2 linked regions of the Tribolium castaneum genome follow. Each later gene encodes a partner of the first gene's protein in a complex. Links are inferred from orthologs where the notes say so. Each region holds a gene or a part of one and is shown on either strand. Other genes may lie near its edges.

Region 1 (3,932 bases):
CACCGACGGTGTCAAACCCGATCTTACATTTCAGTTGTTTGGATTCGTCGATTGCCATAAAACCGGTTTTTGATCGGTTTCAAACCGTGGTTATAACCTCTGGAACCCTATCCCCTCTAGATATGTACCCCAAGATTTTGAACTTCCATCCTGTGATCATGTCTTCGTTCACTATGACGTTGGCCAGGCCTTGTTTGCTACCAATGGTAAGTCCAGAGGTTGGTGGAGTTCATCATTGACCATTGAATGTTAAGTTATTTAAATAAATTTGCACAAAATTTATAGTATATGTGCGGAATAAACACCGTTTATTTTTTGCATTTTTGAACGTAGCTTTTCATGACTCTTTGTGAGGAAGTTTTGGGGTAATTATTCAAAAACCAAGAATAATAAAAAAAAAAAAATTGAATCATTTTTAAGGAAGAAAGTAGGTATGTTTCAACATTTTTTGGAGAGTTAAAAAAATGAGGAAACTTTTAAGTTTTATCACATAAAAATATTGAAAGATTGGTGTCTCTTACTTACAGTAATTAGTAATTAACTAATTACTCAAAAGATGCGATATTAACCTTTAAACATGAAAAAAATTCACTAGTGGAAAAAATGAAAATTTTAGCTAATAACAACGCTTAGGCCATTATTCGTCATTTATTACAGAAAAATAACTGAACCATTTATCCGTGGAAATTACTATAATTTATTTATTGAATAAGAACTGAATTAACATTTAAAGTCAAATATCTTTTGATTTATTAACTTCAGACATAACATACAGTTTTTAGAAAAATAAAAAAAAATGGATGTTCCATTTAATTAATTAGGAACCTGTTCAAAAATCGTGCCAAAATAATGCAGTTGATGTTCCGCAAATTTGATAAAAATGCAACTACGATATATTTCACCATTTTTAAATATAATATGGTCTGATTAGTTGGAAAAAGATGAACAAACGTGTCCGTAACATAAACACTCATTACAACTTACAAAAAAGTAAAAACTTACCCTTTCTGTTGTCCTTGGAGCCCTGAAATCAAAACATTGATATCAAAAAAGATTGCTTATGATTTAAACCAGTTAATAGTAGGTATTTCAGAAAATGGTAACAGAATTTTTTGTAATTCGGAAGTTGAAAGTTGTATTACTGTGAAAGAGTATATTGGATCTTATCTTTAGAAATTTCTACTATTAAGTTCAAAACTTTTGATACTTTTGATTTAAAATTAATCAATAAATCGTCATTCATTCCGAAAAATTTTATTCTTCAAAAATAATAATTACATTATTAACAAACTTGATAATGTACCCATTATTTTATTTTAATTTATTTTATTCGTAGTATTGGCAAAAAACGCTTGGTTCCATACCATATTCAGTGAGCGGATAAATTATTATTAACTATTATCTTATTAAAACCTAAGATATTTTATAATGGCAGAAATGCTCGAACAAATCAATTTCTTTTTAGCCATGTCGATAGATCTTTTAATTGTTGAACCAAAATAAATAAAAATAAAAAAAACTATCCAAAAGAGTGAAAAGCGTAAATGTTTAATACCATCAAAAAACAAACACAATTTCAAATATCTAACAAAAAATAATTCTTTTATTTAATTAAAATTTTCGAAATGTTCCCACATTACGAAGAACTTCCGGACTTTTCAAATCGTCTAAATTTTGTGGTCTATTCTCTGTTTTCTCTCCAATTGTTTCCAAAAATACAAAAAGAAGGTAATAGGTTTGTGTTTGAAACTACTCTCATGATTTTTTTTGTCGAAATAACAAATTTATTAGTTTGCTTTTTGTTAGTAGTATTAAAATTTATGTTGTCACCTAACATTTCTAGAACGGGCTTTCGTTAAATTCTATCGGTTGCGTAACACCCATCAGATCATCTCCATTCACTACTTTAGCAAATATGCAACCAATAAAAATCTATCCGACGATAAGTGGTCTTAGAAACAGAGGGTAAGATGTTTCGAAGAGACTAAAAAATTAGGGATTCCATTAAAAAAATTCGAGAGACCATTACTCAAAAACCTAAAGTTGTAAAATTTTCAGTTCAATTGAAAAGAGAATTAGCCTGTTGGACAATTTTTGCATTTTAAAGTTATGTCATGGAATATCTGTAGGGTGAAAAACGATATCTTTTAATGAAGACGGCGAAAAAATCATACGTATAATAATAGCACTGGAGGAAGAAAGTCTCTTCTCTTCCTTAGATTACTGTACTCTGCTTCGCTTTGGGCATTAGTTCAACTTCGGGAGAGAACCTATGTCTGTCCTCTCTTGGTATACAAATAACTACGAGTGTGGTTTTAAATAATTTTGCCGCTAACTGTATACTTTTAACATCATTATCATCATCTCATTGGTCGTTTTAGATCGTGTCAAAAGGCAACGACCAAGTCGCAATTTCGTCAAAATTCGAGACACGCGAAGACAATGCTGTTATCCGAAACTACGGCCAACTCTTGGTCGAAATAGCCGCCAATGTCCCCGACGGAATCGTCTGTTTCTTCACCTCTTATCTCTACCTGGAATCGGTCGTGGCCAGTTGGTACGACCAAGGCGTCATCGACAGCCTCCAAAGATACAAACTCCTCTTCATCGAGACCCAAGACTCGGCAGAAACGAGCTTCGCCCTCATGTACTACATCAAAGTATGTTTTTCCCCCAGCCTGTCCACAGTCGGTAAAGTAGGAATTTCCAGGCTTGCGAGTCGGGCCGCGGGGCCGTGCTGCTCTCCGTCGCGCGGGGCAAAGTCTCCGAAGGGGTCGACTTCGACCACCACCTGGGGCGCGCAGTCCTCATGTTCGGCATTCCCTACGTGTACACCCAGAGCCGCATCCTCAAAGCGCGCCTCGACTACCTTCGGGACCAGTTCCAGATCCGGGAGAACGATTTTTTGACCTTTGACGCCATGAGACACGCGGCCCAGTGCGTGGGGAGGGCTATCAGGGGCAAGACCGACTACGGTATCATGATTTTCGCCGATAAGAGGTTTTCCAGGTCGGATAAGCGGTCAAAGTTGCCCAAGTGGATCCAGGAGCATTTGAAGGACTCTCTGACGAATCTGTCGACGGAGGAGGCGGTCCAGGTGAGTTGGGGGTTGTGAGGGAGAGTGGCGTGAGTTTGACTTGCAGATTGCCAAGCGGTGGTTGCGACAGATGGCGCAGCCGTTCACTAGGGAGGACCAGTTGGGGGTGTCTTTGCTCACTTTGGAGCAGTTGCAGAATTTGGAGGCGAGTAAAATCCAAGAGCAGGCGCAACAAAATTGATTTGTTATTATTTTTTACGTAATAAAGTATTTTCAAGAAAAAATGTTTTATTCCTGATTTCCTGACCCAATTGAGCGTAAAATGCACTTACACTCCTTTAGTACGAGGTATCTTGTTGATTGTTTCCGGTGTGCGCTGCAAGTTCAGTGAAGGAGAAAACTAGTTACGATTTTACTTGGAATAGTACTAATTGGGTTTGAAGTTAGTTAGAATATTTAAAAAGGAAACTGACGATTATTTATTAGACAAGAATGCATAATAGTTGTTCGTAACCAGAAATTTTAGGTTTTTTGCGTGAATAGAACGTAATCTGAATGCCTGACTCGTTTTTATGTCACCAATAAGAGAATATATGGATAATTCTGGTTTCTGATAAGTAGCGAGATTGCTGATGGTTGATATTAAAAACTGGATTTCCGTAATTAACTCGGATGAAGATAATTATCTACACTCATTCGCAAACTATTTAAATAGTTGTAACATTTCGCAACAGAAAATTAACGATTTAATCTGAAAAAAAAACAACCGAGAGGATAAAAAATATGTTTGGTGCAATGCATTATATTGTACAAGCTCGTGCTATGTAGCATGTTATACACTAATAACAATTTTTTTTTTAATTCTCAAACTAAGGTAGGTACGCTTAGGGTATGT
Region 2 (3,034 bases), on another chromosome or scaffold:
ATGAAGCCTTGGAAGTGATTATTTACTTTATCAATTTTATTTCCCACAATCATTTTGACTATGTTCGCTTTCGTCGAGTATGTTTCCAGTTCGTTCAACCATGTTTCCAGTTTCGCAAATGTGGAATAGTTGGTGACATCATAAACTAAAATAGCACCTTGTGCATCGCGGTAATAAGAGGGTGTTAATGTTCGGAATCGCTCCTGACCAGCTGTGTCCCATATTGCCAGCTTTACGGTGTTGTCATCGACTGTGAGTTTTTTGGTTTTAAAATCAACGCCAATTGTTAGCGTTTGATCAGGATCGAAGTTGTCTTCAGTAAAGCGGACTAAAATGCTAAGTAGGTGGTAGTAAGTGGGGTAAATAGTTTGGTTTCTTGTTCTACCTGGATTTCCCGACGCCACTCTCTCCAATTATCAGGATTTTTAACGTCGTCAACACCTCTTCGTCCATTACTAATCAACAATGGGGATTACGCGTAGTTATGAAACTAATGCGGAAAACAATATTTTCGTGGTTTCTGGAAGTAATGCGATTCTTCTACAATAACTGGCACTGAATTTTGTTGAAACCAATTATAACTTTACGATTAAAAAAAAATTTAACAAATTTTAATGACAATTACTTGACATTGACATGTTTACAACAGTAAAACAGATTTCTGCATTGCCTGCAGTCTGCAACTAAACTTTGAGAAGCGGGTAATTTGAAAAGAAACGCCATATAGTGATTGAAAAAACTTTTTATTGACTTAAAATACATTAAAACGCCCTTACTTCTAGTTACTTATCAAACCTAAATAATCGTCCATCAAAGTACCAATTGCAAACTAAAAAAGAATCGTAAAAAATTGGAACTGAAATATTTGATTTATTACTATTCCAGTGGCATCCACACGTGTACCAACTATTTTCAATCTAATTTCTCCTTCAGCATGAATAACAACATCCTCATCTTTGGTTTTGTAACACTGAGGATTTACATTTGGACAAAACTCCATCTCTGCCGGTATAGACTAAAAAATAGTGTCACAATATTATCACACCCTTTAAAAAAAAACTCACATGATGTGAGATAAAGCATGATAAAGGTCCAATTTCTGCAAACATTCCCACCTAGAAAAAACCCAATCTTGTAAAAAAAGAAGTGAAAATATTCCGTAATCACTTTGTTAACTTGCCGTACGACAGCATCAAGCACTTCTCCCTTAAATGGTCTGAAAACTATAGCTTTATACTTTACTGGATACACCACATATCCCTGGCCAGGTAAAATAAGGCCAGCCCCTATGCTATCTATCGTGGTTACAGCAATTACAAAACCGTATCTAAAATTAAAGAATGAAGATAAACACTTTTAAGTAAATTTGAATACAGACTTTCCCGTACAGGTCCCTTCGACTTCTGTATACAGCTTGGTTTTCACCTTTTCAAGTAGCTGTGGGCCGAAATATTGCGGGTGTAATAAAATTTCATGCTCCAACGATATCTAAAAAGTATTGTGTATAAAACAGTGATTTATTTAGTCGTAATATTACATGATAAAACATTTTTTTTGTTTAAAAACACAAACAATTCCGCGTTAATTTGCCGCTCAAATCTAAGGTTATGTTTTTGTTGGCAGTTGTATCAAATACCAACCCAACAAAGCGCTAATAATTAAAATTAGTAATTTATTTTTGTTGTTCAATGTTATTAAGTTGTAAAAGTCCATTCCATACTTAACAAAATGATTATTTAATCATTCCTATTGTTATCTCTTATTGTTAAGACACCTAAATTTTAAAATACGCGCTATCAGTCGTGACGTCACCTCCCCACTCTTATTACGGTAGGTCAGTTGCTCAAAGCTAAACAACCAGTCTTTTACATGTGGTGTAATACGTTTTTCGGTTTTTTGGTTGTGTTTGTGCGTTAATAACGTGTCAAATAGCTGCAGCGGGTGTAATTTGTGCCACTAGAGACTTTAATTTAATTTAGAAGTGACTTTTTGTGAAAATACGAACTTTATAAAAGAATACAGGGAACCACGTTGTCGGTGAGAAAGTGAGTAAGCTTTAATTATACTTTGAGAAACTATTATATTTATGCATTTTAGTGGCAGAAAAGCACATTGTTAAGTTTCACTTTATTGCGAAATTTTTTGGGGACGGTAATCGCTTTTTAGTTCGGGGAGAAAATGCTTTTACCAGCGGTCACGTCACCAAATTTAGGTTTGATGGCACAGTACAACCGATGAGAATTTCTGCAGAAGTTCTACCGAGCATGAAAAAGCTAAATTATACTGTGGAGGTTTGTATTTATTTAACTGTTAGACATTTCTTCTACAAAGTGTGTTTTAGATTTCATATGACCTAGAAGAAGGGGTTAAGACGGCACATTGTACCTGCCCAAGGGGCAACGTGGCTTGCCATCATATGGCTGCAGCATTATATTATGCTCATTATAATGTAAGTGCTACTGACATTGAGTGTCAGTGGAGTGCCCCATCAAAAACAACACCACAAACAGAAGTCATTAAGTTAGCTGATGTTTACAAGCCGAAATTATCAAACTATACGGCACTGTCTAGGTCCTCTACTGAGGACGAAATTATTCAGTTCCGTGCCGAAATAGGCGTCACGAATGTGGTGGGCTTCACTTGGCTCCTAAGACCAGAAGCAAGTGAAGAAGCCAGAAAAATTATTGCAGATATCGAAGAAATTCTACAAAGCTTAGAATACGTGCAGGCCATAGACAAACAAAAGTTTCTTTTGGAGAAGTGCAGAATAGATGAGGCACGCATTAAACTGGTTGAGGCGTGCACTCGGGGCCAACATGTTAACGAAAATTGGCATGTAGCAAGGAAACATCGTTTAACGGCCAGCAGGTTTGGCATGGTACTATCTGCTTGCAGTAGACGAAGATTCCCACCCTCTTTATTTAAAAATTTGGCGGAAGGCTATTCGCTTGACAGGGTTGCTGCTGTGCAGTGGGGTAAGACCCACGAGAAGACAGCGCTCAGAGAATTTGAAGAAGCGACGAATCTTAAAGTC

The links.
Region 2: Xpd (region 1) and Polr2G share a complex: the UniProt entries of both Homo sapiens proteins name them as parts of the TBP-based Pol II pre-initiation complex. The link is inferred for Tribolium castaneum from reciprocal best matches to the Homo sapiens genes ERCC2 and POLR2G.

What each region holds. Positions count from the first base shown.
Region 1 is NC_087394.1:27,629,806-27,633,737, forward strand, and holds the end of Xpd (general transcription and DNA repair factor IIH helicase subunit XPD), read left to right. Parts: coding exon 1-206; intron 207-2,381; coding exon 2,382-2,660; intron 2,661-2,710; coding exon 2,711-3,097; intron 3,098-3,143; coding exon 3,144-3,278; 3' UTR 3,279-3,326; downstream 3,327-3,932. UniProt on the Homo sapiens protein: ATP-dependent 5'-3' DNA helicase. Component of the general transcription and DNA repair factor IIH (TFIIH) core complex, not absolutely essential for minimal transcription in vitro.
Region 2 is NC_087398.1:9,594,611-9,597,644, forward strand, and holds Polr2G (DNA-directed RNA polymerase II subunit RPB7), read right to left. Parts: upstream 1,677-3,034; 5' UTR 1,550-1,676; coding exon 1,538-1,549; exon of another isoform or gene 1,489-1,537; coding exon 1,379-1,488; exon of another isoform or gene 1,328-1,378; coding exon 1,168-1,327; exon of another isoform or gene 1,116-1,167; coding exon 1,065-1,115; exon of another isoform or gene 1,016-1,064; coding exon 878-1,015; exon of another isoform or gene 830-877; coding exon 779-829; 3' UTR 725-778; downstream 1-724. Other genes in the region: ras-related protein Rab-18, read right to left, coding at 27-336, 386-453; uncharacterized protein LOC107397903, read left to right, coding at 2,045-2,045, 2,098-2,291, 2,342-3,034. UniProt on the Homo sapiens protein: Core component of RNA polymerase II (Pol II), a DNA-dependent RNA polymerase which synthesizes mRNA precursors and many functional non-coding RNAs using the four ribonucleoside triphosphates as substrates.